5 linked regions of the Kluyveromyces lactis genome follow. The protein of the gene in region 2 interacts with the protein of the main gene of each other region in a pairwise test. Links are inferred from orthologs where the notes say so. Each region holds a gene or a part of one and is shown on either strand. Other genes may lie near its edges.

Region 1 (6,049 bases), on a different chromosome or scaffold from region 2:
CCATTGTCTTTGCCAGTCAGAGGTACTGTCGAAACTCTAGAAGGTTTGGAAAACATCGACTTGTCCAACTTCGTTCAAAACCAATTCAAGGCAAACAACTCTGTTATTGTTGGTACCGGTAACGTTAACCACGATGAATTGGTCAAGGCTGTTGAAACTAAGCTTTCTTTGCTATCTGGTGACAAACCAGTGCCAAAGAAGAAGTCCACTTTCTTGGGTTCTGAAGTCAGACTAAGAGATGATACTCTACCAAAGGCTTGGGTATCTATCGCTGCTGAAGGTGAACCTATCAATTCTCCACAATACTATGTTGCTCAAGTCGCTGCTGAAGTCTTCGGTACTTTCGTTGCTGCTGAACCAGCTTCCAACCTACAAGGTGTTAAGTTGATCGACGAAGTTAACGAATACCACTTGTGTGACTCTTTCGAACACTTCTCTGTCTCTTATAAGGACTCCGGTTTGTGGGGTTTCAGAACCACCATCACCGACCCACACAACATCGATGAAACTGTCCATTTCACTTTGAAGCAATGGAACAGATTGTCCATCTCTGTCACCGAAACTGAAGTCGCTCGTGCTAAGTCTTTGTTAAAGTTGAAGTTGGCTTCTCAAGTTTCTACCAACGCTGCTGCTGCTAACTTGTTGGGTGCTCAAACCTTGGTTTTGGGTGCTAAGCCAGCCTTGGCTGAAGTCTTCACTAAGATTGACAAAATTACCTCCAAGGATATTAAGGCTTGGGCTTCCGAAAGATTATGGGATCAAGATATCGCTGTTGCCGGTACTGGTAAGATTGAAGACTTGTTGGACTACGTCAGAATGAGAAACGACATGAGTATGATGAGATGGTAATCAAACTAAAAGCCGAGTCTTAAGATATTTTAACAATTCTTTTTATATTATATTCTCATTTCACGACGGTCATTCTAAAAACAATTCTCTCTTTTCTACTCGACTGAGTAGAATTACTCCCTGTAACATTTACTTTTGAGTTGTTATAACCATATCACTCGATGAGTAATAAGTTACAGTTTAATTTCATGTGTGTATATTCCCCCAAAAAAAGAAATTTGTCACGATCGATTTATATCAATATTTTACTGTTTTGGACTAAAGTCTAGGGTGTTTACTGGCGCATTCGATTTTTCGCTCTGTCACAGCTCCTCAAGATCAATACATTTAATGAACATAATGTATTTTTTAATTCCAAATGATATTTGAAAATTTAGGCTAAATCGAAATAAATCAAAATCTCGCTCATTATTCGTCGAAACAAAAATATGAGTTCAATGTCCTTATTTATGATACTGTCATTTACTGGTGAGCAATTGAATACATTTTAACCATCAAGACTTTCTCTTGAGGTAATCTGGAAATTGCGGTATTCAAGTCATCCTAAAAAAAAAATTCAACACTCTACTTTCTATATCGAAACCTGAAAAAAAACATCAAATTATTATAATTAATCCTGTCTGAAATAACCTACTGATATATTCATTTGATACTAAGAAGAGTGACCTTTATGTTTTCCTTGTATCACGGGAAATATTAATAAACTCTTTATTTATATTTATTTCATATGTATGAAAAAACTAACTGAATTCTTAAATTAAGGCCTTGTGTTTTTATTCTGTATCTAACATAATAGCGTGGAACTTCTTGATGATAACTGCGTAATCATGCGCTGCATGATCACATTCTTTTTTTGTCTTGCAACGGACTAGTAGATAACTCATTTTTTTCCGCTTGAGTTACTGAATTCGTTGTATCTGGAGAAATGAATGTATTTATCCTTGAATCATCGTTTCTGGATGGATCCTCCTGATTAGATACTACGGGGGATACCATAGATGACGATGATCCAAACTCGTTCAAGGGCATTTTACTTTTCTTTGGAGTTGTTATGAAGCCATCATTCTCCTTGGTTTCTTTGTACTGATAATCATCCAACTCGGTGACATTTCTTTTCCTCGAAAGAATGCTTTCATTTTCATCTTCATTGGCCGCGTGTGAACTGACGGATAAAACGCTACTTGTTGAAGATAATCGAAGCTCTTCTTCGATAGGAACGCCATTGTACTTAAGCTGAGTGTCCGTAACATCTGTATGTGCATTATCTTGGTCATCATTTTCTGCTATCTCGCCTATAGAGATGTCGTCACTTGCATCCTCTTCCACCTCTTCTGCTTCCATTTCGTCGACGTCACTGTCGTTGTCTTCGTCTTCTTCATCTTCTTCTTCATCTTCGTGATCCTCATAGTCCTCATCTTCGAATTCTTCATCCATTTCCTCGTATTCCTCGATGAGCACATCGCCATGGTTATCATATCCACGACCGATGTCATGATCTGTACCATCTTCATTGTCGTCGTCGAAGTCATCATAACCAAAATTTACAGCCACTATAGTTTCAATCTTCGAAATAAACGCCTGCAAAGACTTCTCATCTTCTTTATTCGTGCGGATCCACTCAATAGGTATCAGAGAAACATCTTCCATTGGGTTTGTGTTTGGACACTCTTTGCCCAGCCTGGGTGTCCAATCAGTATTCACCAAGCAACATTTCTCCATGGCCGACACAAACTTTTGCAAACTGTGCACAGGGAAATATTGTAATGGATGGTAAGATAATTCGCATATCCGTTGAATCGTGAACGGATACTTATCTCTTTTTGCAAATTTCACAACAAGGTACCTCGATAGCTCTTTCAATCTGTGTAAAAGGTCTTCCTCTTGGTCCTCGTTATAATTGAAGATCTCCTTCGGTATCGTTATGCTGAAATGTTCAGATAGCTGTGGGATCAATTGCGAAGGCGATATTTCGTTAAACGCGCTTAGATCTTTATCGATAACTATTTTAGTCAAACGGTCGTATAGATGTCTGGATTTTATTCCCATCATATTGACAATGTATCTGATTAATGAGCTGATAGTAGGAAAGGCTGGCAAAAAAAAAAAAATTCTACGGTATAGTAATATTACACTTGGTTAGATCTCCTTGAAATGGCACTAACGAAAGATCGGTGTTCTCGGGGTATTCTAATTAGCACAAATAAGTCCAGTATGAGCGATGCCTTTTTTATTCCAAACTGGCAGATATAGAATAGATAAAAAGGATAGTCTCGGAAAATAATATGAAACAACGGACTTGTAACACCTAGTCCCAATAGACAGTACACGGTTAGCCAATCCCAGCTCAGCCAGCAGCCTTATAAAGTTCGTTCTCTAGTCTGTTGATTGACCGTTCTATCTTTGTAGCTTAGAAACCTACATGTTATTTGAACAAATTTCTTTTATTTATCATTTCACATAATATTGTGCGCATATAACAAATTTCACCAACTTTTCACGTAACGAAATGTGATATTATTTAAAGGATTTCACTTAAGAACGGCAGGAATTTTAACACTTAAGTACGGAAGTTCTAAAGATACTATAGTTACATACCTGAATACAAAATAGATCAACGACATCTTTACTATAATATTAAAGGCTAAGGTGTCTAATAAGGTACAGTCTATATAATATCATTAATTATTCTTGGCAAGCTTGTGCTCAATGCACTGACAGGCAAAACTACCAACGGCACATAGAAACAGATCATTAGTAGTCACGTGTATTTATGCGGGTAACACTGTTCACACTGGCTCATCTCTGAACCTTTGATCAAAAAAATTTACGATTTTCAAACCAAATTCAATATCATCATATTCTGGTGAAGTAAGCTTGAATTTGGATCTAATGAGAGTTACTCTTAGATTGAATAGGTTCTGGTTGTATTGTGTGTGTCCTTGTGTGGTCCTTGTGTACACTGGCATCTATTCAACGGAAATTGTACAGTATGTTGAGAGCAGGAAGGTTTAGTCTGAGTCACGTCCATGCTAACGTTTTGGCAAGAAGTCCACTTGTACATGCTGCCAGTATACCGACCATGCAAACCAGATTCCAAAGTCAATCTGTGAATAATAATGCGTCTACAGGGGAGAAATTAGCTAGCCTTAGCGACGAACAGGTTGATGAATGGTTGAAAGTTATTGGATCGTTAGAAGAAGAGTTTTCGCAACAAGATTATAACCCAGCTACGTCCCTTGCACCAGGTAACCAATCTAGAATTAATATCTTGGAGAAGGCTATGGAATTGAACAAGCCCAGCTTTGAGCCAAGTCAAGAGCAAATAAATGAATGGGAAACGTTGAAGCAAGTTCCCATTCCAAAAAAACAGGATCCAGTTTTACAGCATGTAACGAATATGATTATGAGACACGGGAAAAGAGAAAGAGCTGAGAAGATTCTTTCAAGAGCGTTATATATTGTGTTCTGTCAAACAAGGAAAGACCCGGTAAAAGTTTTGAAAGAATCCTTGGATGTGTTGGCGCCTCTTATGGTTATCAAGACCTTCAAGACTGGTGTCGCAAAGGCCACTGTGGTTCCAGTTCCATTGAATCAAAGACAAAGGTTTAGATTAGCTTGGAAATGGATTGTGGAAAGTTCTGTGAAGAGATCATCGAGCGATTTCTCAGTAAGACTTGGTGAAGAATTGGTATCTGTCTTCAACGGTAATAGTTCAGGTTTCGAAAAGAGAGACTCTATTCATAAGACTGCTATTGCACACAGAGCTTACATTAACCTAAAATGATCAAAGTTCCAACCTCCACTGTATTTACTTGAATAAACCTGTACATATGTATACGTGAAATATAAATGAACGTTATCGATTTTCATAGTTATGCTGAATTTGTTGCTCTATCTTATATGCAATTCCTAGGCCCAGCAGACTTCCCGAAAAATTGGCCAAAATATCGTTTACATCAAAGGACCTTTTTCCTCGTGAGAGGAACTGTTGTGCAAATTCACTGCTCGTACTGGCACATACGCAGCATACAATAAATGCCAATAGATATTTGTTCATGGAAAAAGGTTCGTACGCAGCCAAATTCCTTGATCGTAGTCTTTTGGGGATGAATGCCGGCAACTGTACGGTATCACATTCAAACATCATGGTAAACAGAACGGTTTCAATGCAAAATACTATGCAATGGGCGAGCTTATCATGAGTTGATGTTATTAGCTTTAACCTGGCATCAGTAGTTAATCCGAGGAAGACAACAAAACATACACTCGAGAAAAATGTTACTGCGTATTTATATCTTATCATTTATCAATTTTCATAAAAACTCTCAATAAGAGTTGCATACACTCTACACAATTTCTAAATGAAGTGATAAACTCAACTCTCTCATCGCATTGGAAACCTTAATCCTACATCAATGCTTCACTTCTTTATGCGATCCGAAAGTCATCTTGCACGATTATATAGTTTCATCATCTTTTTGAGATAATTGAATAACGACAAATTGGATCAAATGGTCGAAACCCCTTTCGTGAAATATAGCCGATAAACTGCAACAGATACACATCCACCACGCCTCTGGGAACCATGTCAGGTATTGCGTTCCGTGTACCCCTCACTAGTGAGGAAAAGCAAGCATTTTCCCAGCACTTTTCTCGGTTAGATAGAGAACAATTGGGAATTGTGACTGGAGAAGCTTTAAGACCTTTGTTTAGTCAATCAGGGTTAACTCCGCAACAGTTGTCGCAAATATGGACCATTTGCGATACCGAAAACGCGGGCTTCTTAACTGTTGATCAATTTAACGCCGCTCTAAGAATGGTTGCGCACTTACAGGAAAATCCAGGTGCGCAAGTTACTTTAGAATTGTATCAGACTCCTGCTTCGAAGCTCCCTTCATTCGGACAAAGTCAAAAGTTCAACTCTGCTTCTACACAACCATCTATCCCACCACCATCAAATCAGTCTCATTCTGTCCAGAGAGTCCCCTCTGTTATCAATAGATCGGTGAGCAGAACTAATACGGGTTCGTCGCCAACTTATTCCGTCATTCCTGTATGCACTCCTCATGATTATGCCAAGTTTGCCCAATTATTTGACAGATCAACGGAAGAAAGCGGTTTCCTAGCTGGTAATAAAGCAAGAGAAATCTTCCTTAAAGCAAAGTTACCAACTCAAACTCTAGGTACTATTTGGGGGTTG
Region 2 (6,883 bases):
AACACAAGCTTTAAATTCTCAGCTCACTGATTTAAATTGTCAAAAGTGTTATTGATGGCTCCTAACACTTCAGGCACTATCGATAGTTCCAATTCTTCTTAATTGACTTTTGCTTTCCAGCCACAATATCGAACAAATGTTCTACCCCAAAACACAAACTAACGAACCAACACTTAACCTCTAAAGCGTGTCAATACTGTAACAAATATCGAATGATTCACAACACAGATGCTGAGCCCTAATAATCACACTAGGAAGCAGAAGAAACACACGGGTACGTCAGAAACCACAACATTCACCGATTCGTTGATTCTCATGATAATAATCAACATGCTAAATTTCGATTTTCACCGGAAGGTCTAGATTTGAATTTTCATGCAAAGAGATAGAGAAAAAGCCGCCCATGCCCGGGTAACAAATGTTCTTCTGGCTTCGGAAATGAAAGTATTAAACACGAAGCCTGACATCCTGTCTCGAAAAGTTGCGAAACAGCTCGGTACCGGTATCATTACGTTGTTAAAGGGGCGATATAATGGTTGGAACTTGCGTTTTGTTTCTGGAGTGCATTGTATAAGAGTTACTGAACAACTACTAGCATTTTAATAAGCTAATTAGATCAATCAGTACCCGGATAATTTGTTACCCGGACAGAAAATACATCCTTCTCCGCTCTTTATTCAGCAGCTGTAACCTGATAATGCCACTTCTCTATGGCAATTATATAGTCAGACTTGTTAAGCCCGTAAGTAGAAGTAATGATCATCGAATTCAAATGACTCCATCTCCAACTAGGAAGCTAAAACATATTCGCAACTTAGGGGATTGCCCTTTTCTTAGGGTGTTAGTTTGAAATTATCTTCGCTGTGTTTATTGTATATATATATACTGGTGGGTAAATACTGCTAGGTCAACATTTTCTAGATTTAAGGGACATATACTTCATCACTTCGATGAATTGTGACAGGAATTGAGCATAGAGGTACGCAGAAACAGTATAAGAGAGAATGCCTAACACTTTAGATAAAACTTTTGTTGAGAATGGGCCGTGGAAAAAGGATACGTTCCATGGCAAGGTCGTGTTTGTCACCGGAGGGGCAGGAACGATATGCAGGGTACAAACAGAAGCAATGGTGCTTTTAGGTTGTAAAGCTGTAATCGTTGGTAGAAACCCGGAAAAGACGAGGAAAACGGCCCACGAGATTGGACAATTGGTCCATGATCCACACTCTTGTTTGCCCATTTCAAGCGTCGATGTCCGAAATGTGGATCAGTTGCATGAGGCTGTTAAAGTGGCCATTCAAAAATTTGGTAGGTTAGATTACGTTATCGCTGGCGCTGCTGGTAACTTCTTGGCGGACTTTACACATCTATCCTCGAATGCTTTCAAATCAGTGGTATCAATTGATCTTTTGGGTAGTTTTAACACGGTCAAGGCTTGTTTCCCAGAATTGGTCAAGACTAAAGGTTCTGTACTCTTTGTCAGTTCCACTTTACATTACTATGGCGTTCCATTTCAGTCACATGTAGGTGCTGCCAAAGCCGGTATTGATGCCTTATCAAATGCATTGGCTGTAGAAATGGGACCATTGGGATTAAGGTTCAATTGTGTAGCTCCTGGTGCTATCGCCAACACTGAAGGGTTGGCACGACTCACTAAAAATGATTCGAGCTCAGATCTGTCAGAGATGATTCCATTGCAAAGGCTTGGCACAACAGTTGATATTGCAAACACGACAGTGTTCCTTTTTTCTCCTGCAGCTTCATACATCACCGGAACTATTCACGTCGTCGACGGTGGTGCCTGGCATGTAGGCACACAAATAACGAGAGAGTTTTATCCTAAAGAGTTGAATTATGCTTTTGATTCAAAACTATAAGAACCTTCTCCTTCTGGCTATTAGTTGACTAACGGAGAATCCATTGCACATTGTGATTGGATCATTCAAAATAGTAAATCTGTAACACACAGATCATATAACTCTTATTCTTTTTCTCCCATCTATAACTTCAAAGTCTTGTTTTTCAATTAGAGAATGCAAGATCTGACCTTGAATTGAATATTATCCTAGTTTTTTTAATACTTATCCCTATATAAAACAACAACCTCCTTCTTTTTAACCTTATTATTAATATGCATCTAAATGCATCACATCTTCAGATATATCTGAATGTCATACTTCAACTTCCAGTGTAGTATTATCATTTTCATCAAAGCTAGTTTCCGTTGTTGATAAACTAGCAAGCTTTTGGGTTTCCTCATGATAAATAGCCATCATTTCTCTTGTGAAAGAAACGTAATCTGCCTTCAGTAATATATCACCATATCTACCGCAGATGTACTTATTCAACAGCATGAAATTCCTTGAACTTTTACTACCGGAAAGCGGAATATCTTCCTGCTCAACCACTTTTAATTGAGTGTTTAACGACTTTAAGAAATCTAAAATTGTAGAATTAGCCATATTATCTTCGTTCAAATTTTCCTTAAAAACTTCAAATATTGGATCGAAGAGATTCTTACCAATAAGATATCGAAGATAGAAGTCGTCATTTAAAAATACGATGTTTTTGAAACAACGCACTGCAGCAAGCCTTAATTGAAGGATATAATCGCTTGAAGCAAGTGATATAAGCCTGATCAAAATTCCATTCTCGAGAATAAATCGTCTAGATATTGATGCCTCATGACCTTGAATCATGAGATTGAGAAGTTTCACAAGTTTTATGAGTAACTGTTGATCACATTCATAGAGATTAACAGATCCATCGATGAAGCAATGGAAAAGGGAGGGCGCAACTTGTCTATAGAAACATTGCAAGTACTCAGCTAGCTGAAATTTCTCGTGATTTCGTTCACCGTCTAATCCATCATGATTTTTGCCATTCTGAATTTGAAGCATGTTATCAATTCGTGTGTCGATATTGTCATCATGGTTTTGATAGTCATCTACAATATAGTCTTCAGGATCTAATAAACTTACAAGTGCTTGGAAGGACTGTTCCTTCAATCCCGGACTCTTATCAGTGAGCAGGATCTTGGTCAATATAAGTAAAAGAGACATATCTGTAGAATCAATATCTGAATTCTCGTCATTCAATAAGGTGACTTCGTCACTTTGCACACTTTGGATTAGTTGGATATCGTGTTCAATGAGCCCCACAACTATATCCGTTGCAAGGATTCGAATATCGTTATTAGTTTCCATGTTGAATGCAAATTGGATGACTTGGAACAACCCTTTCTTGATTAAAAATTTGTAGAAAAGGGTTTTTTCTATTGAATTTAGGTTTTGGGAAAGTTGGATGCATTCATGTAATAGTTTTATACCGTCCCTTCTTTTATCTGGGGTGACGGTTGAATCCTCCTCAACTTTATACATCGAGATGACTTGATTAATAAAATTGTTGCTATCCTCCTGTAGGAAATCTATTATGGAATTCTGGTATGACAACATTAGGTCAGATATGAAGGTGAAAGATTGATCATCCAAAAATCTAACTAGAACCACATCTTTCAAAAATTGAAGCCTAAAATTTTGCGTAATCATTAATTTGATCGTTGGATCTGAGATGGGAATCATTTCCTTGAAATTTGGCTCCTTATCTTTCAAATATTGTCTATGGTTAAGTTTTGAGTTTGGAAATTCAGTATCATATTCCAATATACCGCAAACGCATAAAAAGTTTTCATCATTGATCATCTCTTCCAAAATCTCCTTGCTGTTGAACAATATTAGAGTTTTCACAATGTTGCTCAATAATAATAAATTTCGATATAGTTTAGATTCTTCTGACTGATAGAATGATCTGATTAGTGTTGCTAAATAGTGATCGTTGATAACAAATTGAATTGTCTCATTTCGCAGATAATCAAATGACGTGTTTTCGTTTAGAATTTTCAATGCTTCTAAAAGGGATTCTTCTGTCTGGTTTGGTACATTTGAGGGAAGATTGACCGGTCCTGTTATTATCTCATGAACAGACCCGATTCCATCATCTGTCGATCTTACAGCTACCAAAGAGATGCGGCTTTCAATGTTTTTCTGTACAAAGCAAATATATTCACATAAAGAATCGCATCCAATGCTTTCTTCAAAGGATAAAGCTATATCCTGACCATTCAGATCCTTCCAGACAATAAGAGTTTCCTCTTGACGCTGGTATTCGATGTTTTGTTCGAGCCTGGACTTAAGTAAGACCTGGTCATCGGAGTCTTCATCGACCACCAAAAGATACGCCATTTTCTCTGCAGTCTGAGTGTCATCTATAGTACGCTCTTCCACTGTCCCCTGACAAAACCCTGTCCCAGTATCCTTCCACTCGTTATTTTCCAACACATAGACTTTCACGCGTTTCTTCTCAGTGTATACCGACTGTTTGGCACCATCCCCAGAAACATGCATATTGTTAGATTCAGACATATCTTATATTATGCTGATCGAAGCCCTAATAAATGGCAAGATCTCGTAAGCTCTTTCTGCTAATTGTGACCTGACAAAATAGGTTCAAAGTCTTGTAAGCAAAAGTTGCAATGCGTTAACAACCGAGTGAGTCCGAAAGAAAACTTGAATGTTTACACTTCGTCGAAAGCGTCAGTGACTTCTTCCAGTTAAAAAAAAAGGACAAAGAGGATTAAACACAAGCGCTATAAGAGCTTTGAAGTAACAGATTCTTGTATGTTCAATATCAGATTATCCTCCCCTTCCGCTTAAAACCCTCACAAGACACTGCTTCTCTTTTATTATGGGGTGAGATGAGATGCCCTGGTCAGAAGTCTTAAATTGGATAGTTTTTAACTTTGTTCTTTTTTTTCTTCTTCTTGGCCGCTAAACGCAGTGATAAGAAAAAAGAACAGTTTTAAGGCTGCAAAGCACACCGAGGGAAAGAGGACATCGTACTGAAGTTCGATCATAATTGTTTAACATACCGCGTTAGCAAATAAAAGTGTAGGCAGTGGTACTGTACGTAGCAAGGATGTTAGCTATAGATATATTTTTTAATCGATCAAGCAAAGGCGATCTTTTTCCTCTTCAATTGAAGACGTTTATTTCATTACGTACGTATTTCTATTTCTTTTTTCCTGGTTCCTATATCCACAGAATGACCCTGCATTATACTTTACAAAGCAACTTTACGCCAGCCATCACGATTTGGGGATTGAGGGTTTAAAATTCATTTCTCGTAGGTCTCATACTTAAGCTTGAACTGTTTTCTTTGTTTCGCTCTTTCCTTTCTAATTTTTCTCAAATCTGGAGGTGGTGTGACGTTTAATTCTCTTCTTAGTTCGTCTATGTCCTTATCCAAGATTTCTTCCCAATAGACATTGATGAGAGGTTTGCAATTCAGCCCTGCTTTGACTGCCCATGGGAGGTAGATGGAGTAAAGTCTTTCCTTTTGCACTTTCTTTAATCTCAATGGTGCTAATAGAGCACCAAGTGCAGCCATTGGGACACCAATGTTTGATGCCTCAAATGCTTTAACTGCAATCTCACCTTCGATTATGATTGGTAGGTCATTTATTGCATGATAAAAGTCATGGCATTGTCTATATCTCTTAAATATGAAAGCATGGACAGGATCATCGATATAAGTAACTGGTGCCCTTGTGTCTGGAGAGACCCCCTCTTTCATCAACCATTTGTAGTACGTATAGCCAACTGAATTTTTATCCATCTTTGACAATCGTTCCATGTCAAGGCTTTCCGATGTGATGTTTGGTCTGTCTTGTAGAATCCTTCTACCAGTCTTATCTAACAACATTGTCCGTTTTAAACTTTCAAGAAAGCAAGGTAGAGCAGTAGCTTCTCCTAATTGAACGATGTTCTCACCGTTCTCCGGGTGGAAATAAGATTTTAAACCACTGATACCGAAGAGCATCATTCGCTCATACCACCAAAGTGGAACATGACCCTCATAATTAGGTTCTATCGGTCTTGTGTTTCGTAATGCATTTAACCTTTCTTGAGTCCTTTGTTCCATCTTATGCTCATACTCTCCATTTTTATTATGCAGATTCCCTTTCTCCATAGCATCTGCTAGTCTAACATCTTTCCCAATCAATAGGTCTCCAAAAGCTGCTATTGCAGTAAATACGATTGTTCTCTTGCTATTATTCAATGGACTGAAAGCGTTACGACTTGCTTGTAAGGATTTCTTACTTACAGTAAACATTTGCGGTCGTCGTCTGATGCGTTTAATAGCACACTTTCCCTAATAATAAAAAGCTGTGTCCCGGAGTACAACTCGTCAATTGAGTCAAATCTAGAATCTGTGTAAACCTTGATCCTAATCCACGCCAGCAATTTCAATTACAACCACTTTACAATTTTCAATGATCTTCCTTTATCTCTAGTTAAAGTATATGTGGGTGAGTCGCATCAACTTCAAGAAAAGGTTTAAATTTGAAATATTCAGAAGAATCATCATACGAAAAAGGCAAAAGAATAGTAAAAAGGTTGACAAAGGAAAACGCCCATCTTAGCAAGGCTCTTGCTATCTACACGCTAAGGGAGCTTTGCTACATTAATTCTCAATTGCATAAATCCGAGATGACTACGGAATTATATAATGATGGGGCATATAAAAATGCTCCTACATATGAGGAGAGCTCTTTGTTACAACAGACATGGTTGATTAAAGAAATCATAAAGCCTGAGCTACCTAACGTTATGGACCATGTTGAGAAATGCATAAACCAACTATCTAGTCCTGAGAAATTTCGAATGCCTCTTACCAATGGGAATAGTGTCTCCGTTAACACATCAGGTGCCGCGCCAGACAGCACATCGATTAAAGGGACAATCACTAGACAGGCCGGATTTATAGTGGATTTTCAGGCTATCATTAAGCTTCCAGACTTTAGCAGGGGTAAACCAATAGTTCT
Region 3 (6,913 bases), on a different chromosome or scaffold from region 2:
AAGTCCTTCTTGTCTGAATACACCTTTACAGCAATTATAAAAGCCACCCCGGTGTACTATCCGAACACTTCCTCCGCTTTGAGTCCTGGTGGTAGGATCATATTTCTTTAGTACAATGAGCATTGATATTGACGACATTCTAGCTGAGCTGGATAGGGACACTACAGCTGTTGAACAAAATGCTTCTTCATACCCAGACCAAAGCGATCGAACTCAAGGCAATGATGTCTCTCAGATAAGACCAGCAGATAAGGCGGTTGACCCTGTGGCTCCCACACAGTTTAACAAAATTGACGACTATCAAAAGCTAATTACACATTGGAAGAATGAACGTATGAGTCCGGAGCTGCTTCCATATCCACATCATCTCATGACTAGGACATTAATAAGGATTCAAGAAAGAATTGAACTAATAGAAACACTATCAATGGGATACTTAGAAGATAATCAAGAGTTAACTGTCGATTCAAAGCTACCACTTTTATGCATGGAAGCAGAACTTGAGAGATTGAAGTTCCTAGTTCGATCTTTCATCAGATGCCGGTTAAGCAAAATTGACAAATACAGCATTTACCTAAGACAACAATCCGAACTACCCAATAATGCGGGCCTCAGCAGACTAGATTTATTGATGTCCAAAGAAGAGGTGAAGTACCATATGAAGCATTCTGACATATTACTAAAACTGTTTAACAACGCAGTACTTAAGCACTTACCAGAAGAACTGCAAGCCGTTAACGATACTGAGGGTTCCATCAGTATGATTGATGAACCCGATTGGAATAAAACTGTATTTATACTAGTTTGTGGTGGGGTAGTTGACGAAAGTGGTATTGATTCGAAATTAACGACCGATGATGATGGAAAACACTGTTACTCAGTGATTATTGAAGATTTAAATGAAGAAATTTACTTATTAATCGGGGCAGTATACGTAATACGTTATAGTGTAATACGAGATCTCATGACTGAGGGACGAGTAGTTTTAATATAATGAAAATTCTGAACAGTATTACTGAACCTATGACTCTTCGAAAAATATAGGTTTGTAACGAATGTTTGCCAGCAATAATTTCTCAACAATGTTATTGCGAACACAGCATGTTTTCTACCTAGTGTTATTGACTGCTGGTCTATAGTGCTTTTGAACCAATTTGTATTAGTATTACATCAATTAACGTTGAAAAGTCTATCTAGCATACTCAAAGTGTACCTATTTTTCATATTTACTGTATGCAAAACCCATCCGGCAAGCATATGATCAGCTCAGAGAAATCCTTCAATATCTGGTTTCTGGGCTTGGGCAAGCTTAGCCCTTTTGGTTGTCTGCGGTTGAGATTGAGATAACGACACTGAATGTATTCTTTTCAATCCTGTAGTCGAGTTCATCTCAACGACAGAATCTAATTCCTCGATATTTTGCGAGTTGGCATCTATGTTACTGGAAGAGGACTGGTTTATATTAGATTTGGCATGTTGTGATGATCTAGACTTCATAAATTCCATAAACTTAGGGACTAAAGCTAACTCCTCCTGTGTCTGTTTATGTAGAAGTGTCTTGTTTGTTTTCTCATTGGTATCCAGCTTCCCCTCGTGGAACAAACCAGTGGTATCATTGAACTCAAGCTGGAAAGAAACAGTGACATCATTGATTTTATCCCATATAATTTGGATTTCATCGCCATCATGAAGTAAGATCTTTGTGCCCGGAGTGATTTTCTTTCCATTAACATAGCTTGAGTTAGTACCACTTTGGCAATACCATACATCATCAAGACCTTGAGCTGGAGATTCATAAATACTGTCACCGACAGCGTGTCTTTTCTTCAATATGAAGCAATGTATCCTAGATAAACGATTATCATCAATTTTACAGTTGCATTCGTCTGACCTACCGATGAAGAATGGATTTATCCCTTGTTTTACTTGGACCTTACCTGAAATAGATGAGCCAGGTAAGGAATGCAAAGTGAGAAATAGCCCCTCCCCATTGACCTTTGTAAGTGGTCTATTGATCTTTTTGTTCTTATTGTTTGAAAGTCCTTCTTCACCAGATTTATAATTAACATTAATAGCTTTACCAGTATTAGGATTTGAAAAGTTAAACTGCAAGTTTTGGGATTGTGCAATTTTAGATGGTGCAATTTGTGGTTTTTTGAATACAGGCTCTTTATTAGTTTCTGCAGCAGGCGCCGTTATTTCTTTCTTGATAATCTCTAACCTCTTTTTCGCAATGTATGATTCGTATTCAGCCTCATTCATACTGTCAACAAATTGTTGCTGGGACAAGGATTGTGAGATGGATATTTGTGACTGCATGCTATCAACGTATGCCATTTTCATCCATGGATGTTGCAGGGCCTTTCCTGCGTTCATTCTTTCTTTAGGGTCCACATTCAACAGGCAATCTATGAAGTTTCTTGCCTCTTCGGATATTCTATAATCCTTTAATGGTCCTTCATGATAAGAGCCCCGTTTTATTTGCTTGAACAATTCATTCTGAGACTGACCACTAAAAGGCAAGTGACCTGTAAGAATAACGTAAACTAGGCATCCAATTGACCACATATCAACAAGTGAGGAATACAGATCTCGATTAGTTTTATCTTCAGCATTTTTCCCGTCTATAACTTCAGGTGCAACATATGCTAGAGTACCACAAAAAGTGTTCAGGAATGTATTCTGATTTTGTACTTTTGCCAGGCCAAAATCGGTTATCTTTATAAGAACTGGATCGTCTTGCTCTATCATTATATTATCAGGTTTCAAGTCTCGATGGCTAATTCCTTGATCATGCATGTATTTTACTGCCTCTAAAACCTGTCGTGTTATCTCTCTGCCGGCATCCTCGCCTACAGTTCCATGGGCTGCTACGAAATCCATTAAATCGCCTCCGCTGACAAACTCCATCAACATGTAATAATTATCATTGTCTTCAAAAAAGTCCTTAAGTTTAACTATCCTGGGGTGATTTAATTTCTGCAATACATCTAGTTCCCTCTTCACTCCATCAAATTTATCCATTACTTTTCTCTTATGAATTATTTTGACCGCAAATGTTTTGCCTGTTGACCTTTCGACAGCTTTCTTCACAGTAGCGAAAGCACCTTGACCAACAATCGAATCTGATATCGAATAGTATTTGTGTATTCCTTTTAATTCTGTATGTCCCATTGATATCTGATATTTGCTCTTTGAAGATGAAGCAGGTGAAGTCACATCCTTCATCATATTGAGTTCTTTTAGTCTATTTTTGAAACTATCGTTGATGAAAATCACTAAACTAACGACATCGCTGGGAACGCCGACTCCAACACTTATTTCATCCCCTTGGGTCAAGATGTGATTCGTATCCTTTTGTATCCTCGCTCCATTTAACCATGTTCCATTGGTTGATGTATCCTTCAGCATTAAAGTTCCTTCTTCACCCAGCATTAGCATAAAGTGTCTGTTGGACAGTCTTGAAATATCCCCCAGATAATAATCACATCCTTGGTTTCTTCCAAAGGTCCATGTTTTTTTAATTGATGATTCCTTTTTGAATATACTTTCAGGTTGAACCTTCAAGTCCCGTAGACTTATTTGACCAGTTGTACATATTACTCTGCACACCACATCGTCGTCTATTTTCTCCTGAGAAAACTTATCTATTAGGTACTTCTGTGTAGCCTGAGTGGCTTGTTGTGTCGGTTGCGTTATATCATCCATGTCAATATCTTCGTTTGCACAGCAATGATCAGTTGATCTCTAAAGAGGCTGGGAAAGGTAACGGCAAACCTCAAAGGGACAACTTAATGCCTCAATATAGAACGATTTTCACAAGTGTGCTATTCTATAGTCGGTTGTGACTGTGTATACCCACTAAACTGCCAACACAAAGCTAATGAATAATGGAATAAATCGTTCTTTCATAATGTGTATGATCGCTTTTGCAATTCAAAGATCCAGATTATTTCAGAAAAATGTCAACCTTTAAATCGCGTAAATATTCGATGAACATTAAATATTACAATGACGCGTAAAAGTACATACATATATACAAAGCCAATGATCAAAGATGGATCAGTCTTTACTCGGCACTGCTACAACGTTGGAGTGGGAATTTGAGTAAATAGAACGGAATCATTGATAGAAGTTCTATTATGGCACATTGCGGCATCAGGTGATTGGTGCCGAATCTTCTTCAGAACTATGTGAAGCCGGTTTATACTGCAACAATCCATATGGCATCAATTAGTAAATACCATGGTTGAATAACTTGTATCAGCTGTTTCTTATTCTAACTCCAGTCATGCTACAAAGACTTTAAAATCTTTACTTATCAATAGATGGAAGTAAAGATTATAAATCGATATGGTTGCTATCAAGCATAACACTCCGAATTTTCAGAAATTCTTTGCATTTTGCTCATATAACGTTATTGTATTTGAACTGTTAGAGCCTTTTCTTGAAAAAACTAGGTTCTATTCATGTTTAAAACATTCGTTAAGACAATTCCCCATAACCGATTGAAGAAATGATATATATAAGTTTTCGTTTTATTAATACTGCAATAATGTCCTTCAACGAGATAGCTATGTAGTAAAATTATATATCAGCTTTGATCTACTGGTGAAGGTTCAAATCATACCGTCAACTTTAACCGTAATGTTACGGTAAATAACAAAATCGTAAATTATTAATCTCACATACCTCCATAACGTTATGTTAAGTTTCTTACCATTCTATCTGCTAATTAAATGACCTGTTCCCAGAATCAGGACTGGATAAAAAGTCTACTACATCCGTTAGTTTTTCCCAAGGAAACCCTTTAAATACAAGAGCCGGGCTCAGTAGTCTTTCGCGTCAGATTTTGAAGTCTATTTATATTTACTACTAGTTCATAAATTGGACATTGTATAGGAAAGATGCATTCCTCTACATAATATTTTTGTTAAATTAACTACCCATCATTACTTCCCTAAAACCATGTAAACTGATAGGTATGGTGCATACCAGTACAATTGGCAACAGCTTGCAACGTTAAGATTCAGTGATCTCAATTAAATTACGATTTTGACAGTTTTATTTTAAGGGAAAAAGTTGCTTTAAAACAGGAAAACGACATCAGGCAATGTTTTGCCTCAGTAAACAAAGATACAATTAATCGACAAAAGCTGGGCAGGTTCATTTTTTGTTGAACTTGAACGTCTAATATCATTTACTTCTGAGAATAGACGTAAATATCAGCTTATCTGTTTTACTTTGAGAAGGTTCGCTGCTAGGTAATTAAAGTTACTTCGAGGCTTGGAACAAGATGGGTAAGGAACAAATCAGAAAGAGACAAACTAAAAAGGTACGCAAGGGTTCACAACCCGTGGCAAATGGTAAATCTTCTGTAGTAGGGGTCTCCAAAGATGGGAAACCAGAATTTTGTGCTATTGATACGCCCATAGAAAGGAGACTTCAAACTCTCAGCGTAGCATGGTATGTCGAATGTATTCCGTTAATGATCATCATAATGTTGTTTGTTTGGGTTAACCCGTTGATGTGGTCGTTTGTAATACCATACACCATTTATTATTTCATAGACCGGACTGCCTCCAATGGGAACGCTGTGAAGAGACACTCCAAGTGGTTCCGATCTCTAAAGGTCTGGTTTTATTTCCGTGATTACTTCCCTATAAGTATGCACAAAAGCACTGAACTCGAGCCAACATTTACAAGTATTGATTCCACAGAGCTGGAAAATGATGCGAGTGAGCCAGGCTACCTGGATAGCTCACAGCCCGTTTTACCAGATAAATGGTGGAATCCTTTCAGAGAAAAGGATGAAACTGTTAGACCAACAGGACCGAGGTATATTTTTGGCTACCATCCACATGGTATAGCAGCATTCGGAGCGTTTGGAGCATTCGCTACCGAGGCATGTAATTGGAGTAAAGTTTTCCCAGGCATTCCAGTGTGTTTGCTTACTTTGGTAAATCAATTTCAAATACCAGTGTACCGTGATTATTTATTGGCCTTAGGCATAACATCGGTCGCTAGAAAAAATGCTATGAAAGTACTTGAGAAAAATTATTCAATAGCCATCGTAATTGGAGGTGCCAGTGAATCCCTTCTTACTAACCTTGGTTCATCTGATATCATTTTAAGCAAGCGGAAAGGTTTTGTGAAGTTGGCTTTGCAAACTGGGAATGTGAGTCTTGTACCTGTGTATGGATTTGGTGAAACTGATACTTACAAGATTCTGAAGCTTAAAAATGACTCTATAATAGGCAGGATACAGATATGGCTTAAAGAGAACTACAGCTTCACTGTCCCTCTATTTTTCGCTCGTGGTGTATTCAATTATGATTTTGGTTTACTACCGTTTAGACATCCAGTCAATGTTGTTGTTGGAAACCCTATTCATATTAAAGAAAAGATAGATCATCCAACAATTGAGGAGATTGATCATTACCATTCCTTATACATTGAAGAATTGAAACGTCTTTACGATGATAACAAGGCAAAATTTAACTATTCAGAAAAAACTTTAAATATAGTGGAATGAAACTCTTTACCAAAAAACTAAATAAAATATGATACTGCCTCGACGGTGAGGCAGCATTCAGTATTGTCTCTATATATCTGCATTACCACCAGACACTACAATTAAAAGTAAAATAATCCAAACCTTGCTAAAACGAAAAAACCTCCGCTTTTGTGAGTTGTACTCAGTCTCACCGTTTCCTTACTCTGTCACTAACAAATTCTCACGTAACTCATCAACAGTGACATCCTTCTTTAGTCGATCAATATATATCCTTTCCCACTTATTTATATTCCGTGCAGGTTGTTTACCTACCGTAACAAATCGTTTCGGGACTATAAGAAACCGAACATATTTTAGAACCTTTTTAGTAAGAAAAAGATTAAAGGATGGCTCTTA
Region 4 (5,657 bases), on a different chromosome or scaffold from region 2:
GGGCGATGGTTTTTCATGATTTAGTTTGATGGATACATTTCAAGTGTTGATAAGGTACAATAGTAGCTATATATTATCTCAGTTGTATTGCAATAAAAGTAAACCCAAAATTCAGTGATTCTACACATTGAAAGCACTTTAATAGTAAAGCCAAAATTCATACTATACGATAAATTGACTCTTCTCCATTTAAGAATACTCAATTAACCGTGTTATCGACTTTTCCTCTAGCGCGACTAAAAAGAAAGAAAATAAAACCTATTATCAAATAATGTCACCAACTAAGACACAAAATTCTGCTGAAGAGAATATTAGGGCTGAGCTTGGCCTTTCTGCAGAAGTCGTCACCATCAGACGTAATGCTCCAGCTGCTTTGTTATATGAAGATGCTTTAAAAGAAAGAGACACAGCCATTTCCAATGCTGGTGCCTTGATTGCCTACTCTGGTGATAAGACCGGAAGATCTCCACGTGATAAGCGTATCGTTGAAGAAGAAACTTCAAAGGATAACGTTTGGTGGGGTCCAGTAAATAAGCCATGTTCCGAAAGAACTTGGGAAATTAACAGAGAAAGAGCTGCTGATTACTTGAGAACTAGGGATCACATTTACATTGTTGATGCTTATGCTGGCTGGGATCCTCGTTACAGAATCAAGGTCAGAGTGGTTTGTGCTAGAGCTTACCATGCCTTATTCATGACGAACATGTTGATCAGACCATCAAAGGAAGAACTAGAAAATTTCGGTGAACCTGACTTCACCGTCTGGAATGCTGGTCAATTCCCTGCTAACACACATACCTCCGGTATGACTTCTAAGACTACTGTGGAAATTAACTTCAAGCAAATGGAAATGGTCATCTTGGGTACCGAATACGCTGGTGAAATGAAGAAGGGTATTTTCACTGTGATGTTCTACTTGATGCCTGTAAATCACAATGTCCTCACCTTACATTCTAGTGCCAACCAAGGTATTCAAGATAATGACGTTACTTTGTTCTTCGGTTTGAGTGGTACTGGTAAGACTACCTTGTCCGCTGATCCTCATAGACTGTTGATCGGTGACGATGAACACTGTTGGTCCGATCATGGTGTTTTCAACATTGAAGGTGGCTGTTACGCTAAGTGTTTGGGATTGTCTGCCGAGAAGGAACCAGAAATTTTCAACGCTATCAAGTTCGGTTCTGTTTTGGAAAACATCATTTACGATCCTAACACTAGAGAAGTTGATTACGAAGATTCTACAATCACAGAAAACACTAGATGCGCTTACCCAATCGAATACATCCCAAGTGCTAAAATCCCATGTCTAGCTGATCACCATCCAAAGAACATTGTCCTGTTGACTTGTGACGCTTCAGGTGTTTTGCCTCCAGTATCCAAGTTGACCCCTGACCAAGTTATGTACCACTTCATCTCTGGTTACACTTCCAAGATGGCTGGTACTGAACAAGGTGTCACTGAACCAGAAGCAACTTTCTCCTCTTGTTTCGGTCAACCATTCTTGTCTCTACATCCAATGAAATATGCTACAATGTTGGCTGAAAAGATGGCCGAACATAACGCTAACGCTTGGTTAATCAACACTGGTTGGACTGGTTCCTCTTACGTTGCTGGTGGTAAGCGTTGTCCTTTGAAGTACACCAGAGCTATCCTAGATGCCATCCACGATGGCTCTTTGGCTAAGGAAGAGTATGAAGTTTTGCCAATCTTCAACTTGCAAATTCCAAAGGCTGTGGGTGACAAGGTTCCAGCTTCTCTACTAAATCCAAGTAAGAACTGGGCTGAAGGTGAAGCTAAGTACACTTCAAATGTCAAGTCATTGGCTAATTTGTTTGTAGAAAACTTCAAGACCTACCAAGATAAGGCTACCGAACAAGTCTTAGCTGCTGGTCCGCAATTATAATCACAATGTCCTCAACAGAAGTGCTATACCAAAATAACGAAAAGAGGCAGAGTGAAATATTATTGAGTAATATTTTCTCTTCAACATAGTTTCACTTTTTCCGTTACCTTCAACCAGACTATCTCAACCGTAGCCGGTTCATTATTATTAATATAAAATTCTGAGATTCATAAAAAACCAACTAACAATAATACACATACCATTGGCTCGGATTATTTGATTCTTGCATTTAGAAACTATCTTTTTCTCGACTACATATATAACAAGAAAATTCTACAGATATCTTGGGGTTTTTCTCATTCGTTTTTCTATTACTTTCGTCCTTTTTAATTTATCACTAACAGCCTTTATCAATATGGTTATAGTACATACATACGCTTTAGTATCTTTTAATCTGGATATACTATTTATTTATGGGAGGAATTAAATCATTAATATCATCCTTAAGCGAAGAATAAAAGCAGGTTAAATAGATCTTTAATCTCATCCCATATATGCTGTGTTAACGTCTGTGTATAAACCTAGATGTGCTTGTACTCAAAGGTGGAGGCATTTTCGTAGTAGCATTGTTTGCAGTCAAAAAATCAGCATCGTCGTTATTTTCTGCAGGCTGATATATTGGCAAAGAGTGATTGTTACCATAACTCGTCCATGGGAAAAATGCGGTTCCGAACCAAAAGTGCTGCACGACTGGAAACTTATTTAAAACTTCTACCTTGTACATTTTAATCAAACCCTGTTGCATCTTGTGCCATGTATGAACACTCCTTGATATGTTGTAGAGTAGAGGAGAATGATTGGAAAATGGGCCCGATTTTACGACATTAATGAATCGTATTGATTTGCAAAATAGATTGCTAGAGCTGTTTTGTTCCATCAATCTAGTATTAGAAATATCCTTTGGTATTAAAGAAGTATTCACATCTAACAATTGAGTGGCTCCTAAAATGTATGAGAAATGAAAATGATCATCTAGCCCCCAAACGCCATGAGACCCAGCAGGTTCCAATTTATAGGTTAAGATTAGTTTCTGAATCACGTCGTAATATGAATTGAAACAATAAAGTAGCGCCGGCCCCTTTATTGTTTCAATTTTTAGCATATCCAAACAAATTATCACAGCTAAAAAGGACAATTCATGACCAGTTCCATAGTCAATTCTTTCCTTCGATCCAAATGCATTAGATATGTAATATGAAAGTTCTATGATGCTGTTGTTGTACTTTTCGGGCAATAACTCATGCAACCAATTCTCCAATTGGTTTTGAAACTTCGTTTGCCAATCTCTGTATGAAAGGTTTCCATATCTACTATGCATTCTCTCAGGAGGTGTCTCGTCTATCAAGGCAGACAGCCTTTTGAGTAGTTCCACTACGATATTAGTGAAAAAACTTTCTTTGATTGTATCTGGTATCTGCTGGCCCTTACAAAGCGTAATATACTTCTGCAAGTGATATTGTATTCTAACCATTGCGACTGAATTCTGGAAGTCAAGGGTACCCTGACTATCGAATATTCTTTTCTCTGGCATTGAGAACTTGGCGTTCTCATAATCAAAGTCCATCTCTTAGTTTCTTATCCCTTATTTATCACCGTTATATCATAACAACTCTCGATTTAATATTTGCAGCTTGAAATATGTGCGGGAGAATAATTAGAATGCAATATTTGATACGTCCTACAAGGAAGGTATTAGTTTTCAAGATCGCCTCCCCAAAAGTTACAAGAGAAACTGCTATTTCATATCCTTTCTTAGCATTTCAGTCTGTAGAATTCTAACTTTTTTTAAGCGTTCGCAGTACAGGCACTGAAATTGTGAAGTGATATGAAAACATATGATAAAAATAAAAAGCCAAAATAACCTTGAAAAACGATTATACTGCTATGTTTTCACACCAGAGAAAAGATTCCTAATACAAGTCACCAGTCACACATTTACTTTCTTTATCCGCGACACTAGCTTGTACCTGTGAAATAATTTTAACTTTTTGTATCACAGCTAATACTATTCTACTGAATTCACAGGACGAATATTTAATCCAACATCATTGAAATAACTATCAACTTAGCTTCAATCTCCGGTCGCAGACAAAGTATACTACAAGTGAGCCATTGAACATATTTAGACATGGAAGAACCTGGAAGAGGTATTTTGAATAAGAAACTAACTGATGATAAGCATCTGGCTGCGCCTCCAGCGTTTCCAACTATAAAGATAGAGGAACCAGAGCAAAGAGGTAGGTCCCGGAGTAAGACAAGAGATACCGGCATATCATCAAGCAGATCGATATCAAGGTCTGCGAGTCGAGTAAGTATAAAGGACCAAGCCTACCTGAAGTGGACAATATTGAATAAGGACCCTTCAGAAAGGTTACATTTGAAGGCCAAAAAAGGAAACACTAGAGATAGCGTATCTCCAGGACAAGAAAATGGTGGTGACGAGGATGAAGATGAAGATGAAGAGGAATTCATAGAAGATAGAGAAGACGATGGTGAGGTCAGTGAGGAGGAACAAGTGAGTGATGTAGAGAATGAAATAGAAATTGATGAACACATTGATTATGATTTAGGTTGTAAAGTTTTACCGAACTTTGTTACACCAATTACCCAAGTACTCGACTCTATGAAGCCATGGCTAGCGAAGAATGCTGAGATTAAAACAGAAGCAGACAAAAGAGATATCAAATTGGAAGAAATTCAACACGGAATACATAGAGCTGTCTATCATATGAGCAAAGGAGACAATATTACCGCCGCAACGAGCGAGAAAGGCCACTCGTTCGTTGTTTACTTGGATCAAATGGATGAATCTTTTGCTGAGAAAATATACGCCTTAGTTTACTCTTTCGGTTCTGTTTTCACTAATGGGGACACTTTGTACATCATAAACCAATGTGACGACGATACCAACGATATGCTATTTCAAATGAATCGAATTTGCGATCACATAGATTATTTATTCGAATGCACCAATGGAGTTGGAACCTTGGACAAAATTGACGTCCTAATATGTTCAATGTACCATCCATATCCGAAACAATTACTCACTGAGATGGCACATTCCTTGCAGCCATCGTCGATTATTATTCCGTTGCAAACGGTGTTGGCATCATTACAAAATTTCATAACTTCAGTACCGATGCTTGTGATTCGGAAGAAATTGAAGAGATCAAAGCGTAGAGGGATAGCTGACTGATATGCACTACTTCAACAAGCATATAGCCGTTACTATACACACATATATAAACGTAAACTAAAACTTAATACACGTGATCAGTAAAAACGCCATTGTCAATATGAAACGAAATAACAAATGCTACTGCTGCTGAACGAAAAAATTAAGGCAAACATACAGGGTAATTAGGACGAAATTCGTTCATCTATTGACTGAAGAGAAGGAGCAGCAACATAACCAAAATTTGTGGGGAAAGCCAATAGCAGGATCCGAAGATTGTGAAAACACTAATTTAAAAAAAAAGGCATGGAGATGGAGACGAGACATTTACTTGTCCAATTTTCACCAAGTGTGTATCTCGGGAGATATCGGATGACATGCAGCAAGCTCGGATTAGCGCGCAAGAGTGAGTTATTGGCCGGGTAATGTCATATACCGTAGTCTTTCCTTTCATCAAGAATTTAAAGTTTGGTACCCCTCATTCACTTCAGCGTACTGAGAGATTTTCCTACTGTTTGTTTGCATGGGGTTCAATCGCTAAAAACATTCGATCCACTAAAATTGACGAGCTTGCAATAA
Region 5 (7,177 bases), on a different chromosome or scaffold from region 2:
TTTTCATCAGTAATGTATATCGTGTTGCACGGGTGTAACAGAGATCCGTAAGCTCCAGCACTAATTAGTTACCTTAATTATACCGTACTGTGTACACCAATCAATTCAGTTAATACCTTCTTGTTGATAAAAGCGTAGAGTAACTATATGCGAATACTTAACTTGACTTGTGAATATGTATCTGTTTCACGTGATATGAAGTACGGATCATTTTTATGTATATTGCATATTCATCAAAACGTATGTAGTGATTTGACAAAATTTTGATTATCCATTACTTCTTCTTTAGCAATGTATCCGACCCAATCAATACTGAAAGTAGTGGGAGTTCATCAATTTCTGCATAGGACGGTGTATCATCGGAAAGTATTAAGGGCAGAAAGTAATATTATCCTGCGTACTTCTCTGTCTCAAATTCAAATTCAAGGAATTTCACAGAGCTAAGGATATCATATATAAACTGCAAACGAACAGGAAAACGATGGCCAAGGCTAAGACAAAGACTACAGTTATCAAACTGATATCAACTGCTATGACAGGTGTGAGCCGTCATGTCACGATAAATAGAGCTGCACCATTAGTGACGCAGGTGAGGTACGACCCTGTAGCTAAACGTCATGTTTTGTTCAAAGAGGCCAAGAAAAGAAAGGTTGCAGAGAGGAAACCATTGGACTTCTTACGTACCGCAAGACGTTAATGAATTGTATTTAACAATTTAACCACACCATTTGCATGTATATAGAAAACACTCACACTGCAATAACTACCGTTGAAATAGACGTGATTTAAGAGTTCTATAGTAGTATCGGTTTGTAGTAAAGAAACGAAATTTTTAACTAAATTACATTTACTTAATTCACTTATTTAATTGGTTTCTGAGACTAATTTGGGCAAGACTATATATACAACATCCACATCGCGTGGAGTAATTTGGAGATAATAAGATGAACAATTGATAGGTTTGTAAATTATCGTGAGGCAATAACTTGTATGATTATTTCTAATTATTTCCACCCCACGTACTTCCACCACCTCTAGCATCCTGATTACCCCAAGCAGATCTATTGCCGCTATTGTTGTGTTGGGATGCATTGCCCCATGCGGATCTCTCTCCTGAGTTATGCTGCGATTGATTGTTACCCCAAGTGGAACTTCCACCGGTGTTTTTAGATCGTTGTGATTTATTACCACTGCCACCCCAGGCAGAGACACCTCCCTGGTTACCACCCCAGGTAGAAGTACCTCCATAGCTTGATTTATTGCCACCGCCCCAGGCAGAAGCTGCTCCTGATTCTCCGCTTGCTGCCCAAGAAGAGGCGCCTCCATAACTAGATTTATTACCCCAAGTGGACGCACCACCCCAAGTTGATGTAGCACCTTGCCCACCCCAGGTGGAAGTGTTTCCAGCAGCTCCACCCCAGGCAGAAGCACCACCAGGGCCTTGTCCGCCCCATGTCGAAGCACCACCCCAGGATGAAGTTCCTCCGTTCTGGCCAACCGCAGGAGTTTTACCGCCATCAAATGCATTCCAACCAGGAGTCATTCCACCAGGAAGTTGTTGCGGAGTGTTCGTTGCCACCGCACCACCGGCAGCCATGTGTCTTGGTGCACTGACATAGCTTGGGCCCAATCTGGTATGTGGAGTTCTACCACGTCTACTAACAAGTTCATCGTATGTTATACCTTCACCACCTTCATGACTGAAGTAAGTAAGTTTTCTTTTGTCTATTGTAATATGCTTATTTTTGGAGTGCAATTCAATAGTAGCCTTATCTCCATTGACGTCTTTGACAATACCCAACTGCCCCTTGTATCCCGCAGAACGTATCCTAACAGTTTTGTTCAAAGCGACGTCACGGCCAACTAACCGCGTCTGCTGAGTAGTTTGTGGTGGTCCCATCTTAGACGCAATATTTGGATTTATTTTAGATAAATCCAATGCTGACGACATCAAGTTTTCTTTTGAGGCGACAGCCTCGACATTCATTGGATTAACAACGAAAACACCGGCATTTTCCGTTATTGTTTTCGATCTAATGAAAATATGTTGGTTTTGAACGTAGAGTACTTGTCCCTCTCTACGGGAACCGATCTTTTCTCTTACTACATCGCCAATTTTTATTTCTCTACCATTACCATCGACAGCAGCTACTTTCGCTCTTGCTACATTGATCTTGGCAAGAATTGAGCCTTTAGTAACAGTAGCCACTTTACCGGAGTCGTCAATAATCTTGAAAATATCATGTCCAGCCTGGATCACACATGCCACGTTTTTGGCACTTAACTCAACAATGTCATGTAGAGCGTACTCGCTTGATGTCGGAGTAGAATCCATAGATTTACTCAAGTTATTCGCAGAGATTGTCAAATTTTCTCTAGTTTGGTCAGAAACAAATGTGACTTGACCGTTCTGCACCAAAAGAACCAAACCAGCGTTACCTTCATGTTCACCAGCTATTACTGTGACATGGTCACCAAGTTCGAAAATTTTTCTTAGAGATGCAATTGGGAACTCTAATGATTTATCTGAAAAGCCCGATAGTTTAACGCTGATGACGTCTTTAGAACTTCTAGTCACCACACCTCTAGATCCACGTTGTTCCCCGGTCAACACTTCAACACGGTCACCTGGTTGAAACATAGCTTTAGAAGCTTGAGCTTTTTTCATAGTTTGAGCAATAGCTGCTAGATCGACATCACCTTCTTTACTGCCGAACCTTGATAATTCTTCCACCGTAGGTTGGATATTCTTTGTATCAAGATACTGAATCTTAAAAGATTTGAAAAGATAACCGTCAACATAATCTTCCTTCCTGTAAGTGAAGTGCCTGTCATCTCTTTTGAATAAGTTGGCTTGGTCTAACCTTAATGCCATAGTAGGGTTAAATAATTGAGGAGGAGGCCTACTAGCAAACGTTGCTCTCTTTGCCTTTCTCTGATTTGTATCTGGGTCGATTTCGTCATTTTTACCGTAGTCTAATCTGGGTACAATCTTTAATAGAGCTTCTAAGTTGTTCTGACTAATTTGATCAATGACTGCCAAATCATTCTTATAAATACCCCTTTTAATTCTAACATAAGAACCAACATCAAGTCTCACTTCATCTGACTTGGTAGGCTTTAATAGTAAAGGTAGTTCTTGCACGGGAATCAAAAGCTTTTGATTAGAATAGACATCTGGAACACCGTTGACAAATTTTTCGATAACAGATTGTTTTGGAGCTTCGATATAGATTCTTCCTGTGTAATTGTCTCTTTGGAAGATGGACAGAATCTTTAATTTTTTAGAGCCCATAGATTTATCCAAGTTAAACTTCTTATTTAGCAACTTTCTCACTAGTTCTTTCTCCTTCCCTGGTCTACAACGAACGGACCAAATAATAGCAGTATCAACACTTGGTAACATAAACCTCTGAGGTACATACCCACCTTGAGTTTGTACACGGTAATCTTTGGAAGAGTCACGACCATAACGTTTCTTGAAGTCTTCAGCGATCTTGTGCATGTCTTCATCCGCAGTTTTTTGAAGATTTTGATCTAATTCTCTATGCAGTCTGTCATCAACTCTACCACCACGATCCTCTTCGTCTTCTTCGTCACCGCGAGTAATGAAACCTTCACGAACTAGTTCTGAATCTTCTTCATCTTCTTCGTCGTCTTCGTCTTCACTGACTTCGGCTTCAATATCCAAGAATCTGTTTCTTTCACGACGTTGCTTCTTCCTATATGATTCGACATCTTCATCTTCGTCATCGTCATCGTCATTGTCATCGTCGTCATTGTCATCTTCATCATCTTCATCGTCTTTGTTTTCTTGACTGTTTTCTTGATTGTTCCCTTGATTTCCCCTAATTGGACTATCTTCAGTAGCCTCTGTCTTTGGTTTAGAATCAGTAGGAGCGTCCTTTAACTGATCGACAGATGCAGAGTTGTTTTCAGAACTCCCATCAACTTCATCGATAGTTCTTTTCTTGCCTCCAACCACATCTGTAGAATCAGACGAAGATGAAGTAGAGTTATGCTCCTTATCTTGACTCTCAACTGACCCAGAAACTGTTTCAGGTACAGAAACAGCCTCTGCTTTATCGGATTCCTCAGCAGTACCGCTCATGACGTCTTACTGACTGTTGCTTTGTATCGTGAATGCGAACTGTAATGCATACTGATCATCATTACAACTTAGCGTGGACTACCATTTTTGTATTGAAAATTGGGAAGTTTAGATTGAAATTTTTCAAGGATCACAAATAGAGGGTAACTCTCGCCTAAGTATTTCAAAAGTACTTAAGTAGCCGATGAATCAGTCTGCATCACTTCATAACGAACGGGCAGCTAGTACCTTATGTAGTCTTTAATATATAACATCAGCTCTGGCTACGTTAAGGACAATATTAACCGATGAGTCATTGCTGACCAGATAATGTAGTTATGCGGAAAAAGAATGATGTCAGTTATGACACAATTACCAGATGGAATGAGGCCAGAATGCCCACCGAGATTGAAGATGAAGTCCTATCGATATATTTAAGCTTCACCGAAGAAGGTGAATTCAAGTGGGCTGATATTTCTAGTTTTTATACGGAATTACAAATCAGTAAATCATGGTACGGATTATTAGAATTCAAGGACTTATGCTTGGATGGAATTGACGTCATAGATTTCGAAAAACTCTTGGATGTCACTTATCGACTCTTGATCTTCATGGACAACGAGAGTATAATAGATAAACAATGGGAACTACTATTAAAATATACCGGTAGATTGCAACAGTTCCCTAAGGTTGCACTAAGGAAGCACGTGATAAGTGTTAAAGATGTCCAGAAGGCTGCTGTTCAAGTGGATATGGATCAACATATTATCCTGTCAATGGTAAGTTGGGCTACGAACGGCGAGAGGGTATTTGTCACTTACCTAGACTTTGCCAAATTACTTGGTAAAATGGGTTTATTAAGATACTAGCATCATTGCAATCCACTAAATAATTCACTTCCTAAAAAACACGTCAATCTTTGGAACATTTGGAAGAATATCACTAGTAACTTAGTACAAAACTTATAAATGTAACTGGTGGCCATATCAACATAGAATTCTAGCAAAAACAAAGACCTACCCGTCTAGGCATAATATAATCCCTTTCCCCCTCTACTCGTCCGATTTAGAAATTATGCCATTTTCCATATATAGATACTGTACACGTATAAAAGGCTCACCATATGATGTATGTTTCTTCAATTCAATATTTGAAGATCGTATTGAGATTCAAGGCATTGAAACTATTCGAACATTCTAAATAATGTGCTTAGCTCTAAAGAAGTTCTTCATGTAGTTTACTTGCCATGCACCCAAAGCGACCAAAACAACGATGACAGCGATAGAAAAGTTTCTAACTCTTCTGTTGGTGGACTCGTTGGTGTCTCTTAGTCTTTCTTCTCTCCCCTTCAAGTAGTTGAATTCATCAACAATTTCGTCAGTCAATTCTTCAATCCTACGTAGTTCAACTTCCACCGGTTTCAATTTTTCACTGGCTTGAATCTTGTTCCAATCACGAGCCTCGGATCCGGATTCAATATCCAATTCAATGGAACGGCTCAAAGATCTACCGTTAACTTGCGCCACATTCTCGAAACAAACATCAAATGAGGTGGATTGTGGAGCAGTAAATACAACACGTACTTCTCCAGCAATGTCTCTATTCCTACGGTATTCGTTACCGTTACTGTCACGAACGTATAGATTCAACTGTTGACCATCACCAACAGAACCATCAGTCTCAATATCAATGAGCACTAATTGACCCTCACTGACAAAATCACGAATACAGACTTGTTCCGGTTTCGTAGAGGCTGGAATGTCGAAACGTACAGCAAATACTTGTTCAAAGAACAAAGCACATAGTAGAAGCACGCAAGCAGCAAAGCTCTTCATCTTTTGGCCTGTATATATATGGTTTGTCTCTTTGCTTCACTCCTTGACAAGTGTTAACACGGATGAGGTTCCTGATAGAATCAATTAGGAAACAAACGTAGCAACGTATCTTTTTGAATTCAGTTAGAATTAGATATACGTTTTTTTTTTTTTTAAATTTCAAACCGAAACCTATATATTTTATTATATTCTTCGCGATCTGAACTGTCGTGAAAATCAACCATGCAATAAAGGTGTTAAAATTCGAAGTTTTGATCTTTGGAAACCAAACAAATATAGAACCAACCATACGTAAAAGACGCGTTTTTTATGATGATTACACGTGATCGATATTGGCAGATGTTAAGTTTTATCAAGGAACAAGGGATATAACTCTGCCGTGTGCAAGTACGTCTAGGCACTGCGACGCACAATTAGTAATTGGGTATTGTGAGTTATAAATACATATATATATATATAATGTGGTTGTATTATGTACAAGAAAGAGCTTCCCGTTACACGGTTTGAACTAAGGCATCAAAATTTGGGATTTCCGGACCAACTATGGAGGCAATGGATTTATCTTGCTTGAGGTATTCCTCTGCCACTTGATGTATATCATTCAAGTTGACGTCTAAAAGTTGCTCTCTACGACGTTGTTTCATTTCGTCTGTTACGTCGTAATGGAATAAAATGGTACCTTCGTTTTTGGCGCTCATTGGGGAGTCTACTTGTTGGAAGACACTCAATTTCGCTTCATTCAAGTCTGGTTCACCCCACGAAGACTTGTTCAATATGAATTCTGGAACGCTATCGAATGTGGACAAAGAATTTAAAGCGTGAGGATCCCTGTAAGAATAGAAACTGAAAGTACCATCCAAAGCGCTGTAAGTAGCACCACCACCATATGCGCCACCTTTTTCACGAATTTCACGGTGCAAATATTTGTGTGTCAACATGTTAGAAAGGATTTGTAGCTTAGCGCCATCAGGATGGGTATAGGAAACGCCTGGGTAACACTTGGCGGTGTAATGAACCTGAAATGGGAACTGGAGTAGGGTTGGTTTACCTGGGTTTTCCAACATTGAGTAATTCTCAGAGTAGAAGTCACATGGTTTTGAATCCTTGGGTAAGGAGCTCAAAAAGCCCGTGATTTGTTGGTGAACTGCATCGATTTGAACTTGAGAATCACTGGTGATCATGAATTTCATGTCTGAACTGCCATTTATATATGATTGAAGCTCAACCAATTTTGAAACCACTTCTTTCTCAA

What was found.
Region 1: the proteins of PSY2 (region 2) and PSY4 interact in binary tests that used the Saccharomyces cerevisiae proteins (3 or more experiments, as listed by UniProt). The link is inferred for Kluyveromyces lactis from reciprocal best matches to the Saccharomyces cerevisiae genes PSY2 and PSY4.
Region 3: the proteins of PSY2 (region 2) and RAD53 interact in binary tests that used the Saccharomyces cerevisiae proteins (3 or more experiments, as listed by UniProt). The link is inferred for Kluyveromyces lactis from reciprocal best matches to the Saccharomyces cerevisiae genes PSY2 and RAD53.
Region 4: the proteins of PSY2 (region 2) and RRD1 interact in binary tests that used the Saccharomyces cerevisiae proteins (3 or more experiments, as listed by UniProt). The link is inferred for Kluyveromyces lactis from reciprocal best matches to the Saccharomyces cerevisiae genes PSY2 and RRD1.
Region 5: the proteins of PSY2 (region 2) and SPT5 interact in binary tests that used the Saccharomyces cerevisiae proteins (3 or more experiments, as listed by UniProt). The link is inferred for Kluyveromyces lactis from reciprocal best matches to the Saccharomyces cerevisiae genes PSY2 and SPT5.

Annotation. Positions count from the first base shown.
Region 1 is NC_006041.1:509,647-515,695, forward strand, and holds PSY4 (Psy4p), read right to left. Parts: upstream 2,899-6,049; coding exon 1,690-2,898; downstream 1-1,689. Other genes in the region: ubiquinol--cytochrome-c reductase subunit COR1, read left to right, coding at 1-849; RSM7 (mitochondrial 37S ribosomal protein uS7m), read left to right, coding at 3,839-4,633; KLLA0_E05765g (uncharacterized protein), read right to left, coding at 4,706-5,152; EDE1 (Ede1p), read left to right, coding at 5,435-6,049. UniProt on the Saccharomyces cerevisiae protein: Regulatory subunit of the histone H2A phosphatase complex, which dephosphorylates H2AS128ph (gamma-H2A) that has been displaced from sites of DNA lesions in the double-stranded DNA break repair process.
Region 2 is NC_006040.1:1,587,622-1,594,504, reverse strand, and holds PSY2 (Psy2p), read right to left. Parts: upstream 4,422-6,883; coding exon 2,172-4,421; downstream 1-2,171. Other genes in the region: SPS19 (2,4-dienoyl-CoA reductase (NADPH)), read left to right, coding at 1,005-1,877; ubiquinone biosynthesis protein COQ4, read right to left, coding at 5,173-6,171; RAV2 (Rav2p), read left to right, coding at 6,549-6,883.
Region 3 is NC_006042.1:1,024,863-1,031,775, forward strand, and holds RAD53 (serine/threonine/tyrosine protein kinase RAD53), read right to left. Parts: upstream 3,709-6,913; coding exon 1,267-3,708; downstream 1-1,266. Other genes in the region: DNA replication protein SLD5, read left to right, coding at 116-994; DGA1 (diacylglycerol O-acyltransferase), read left to right, coding at 5,297-6,535. UniProt on the Saccharomyces cerevisiae protein: Controls S-phase checkpoint as well as G1 and G2 DNA damage checkpoints. Phosphorylates proteins on serine, threonine, and tyrosine. Prevents entry into anaphase and mitotic exit after DNA damage via regulation of the Polo kinase CDC5.
Region 4 is NC_006037.1:36,576-42,232, reverse strand, and holds RRD1 (peptidylprolyl isomerase RRD1), read right to left. Parts: upstream 3,468-5,657; coding exon 2,406-3,467; downstream 1-2,405. Other genes in the region: phosphoenolpyruvate carboxykinase PCK1, read left to right, coding at 272-1,903; IMP21 (Imp21p), read left to right, coding at 4,032-5,099. UniProt on the Saccharomyces cerevisiae protein: PPIases accelerate the folding of proteins. It catalyzes the cis-trans isomerization of proline imidic peptide bonds in oligopeptides.
Region 5 is NC_006038.1:67,242-74,418, forward strand, and holds SPT5 (transcription elongation factor SPT5), read right to left. Parts: upstream 4,112-7,177; coding exon 1,001-4,111; downstream 1-1,000. Other genes in the region: MRPL39 (mitochondrial 54S ribosomal protein bL33m), read left to right, coding at 482-697; RAD33 (Rad33p), read left to right, coding at 4,429-4,959; ERV25 (Erv25p), read right to left, coding at 5,287-5,925; CYM1 (pitrilysin family metalloprotease), read right to left, coding at 6,420-7,177. UniProt on the Saccharomyces cerevisiae protein: The SPT4-SPT5 complex mediates both activation and inhibition of transcription elongation, and plays a role in pre-mRNA processing.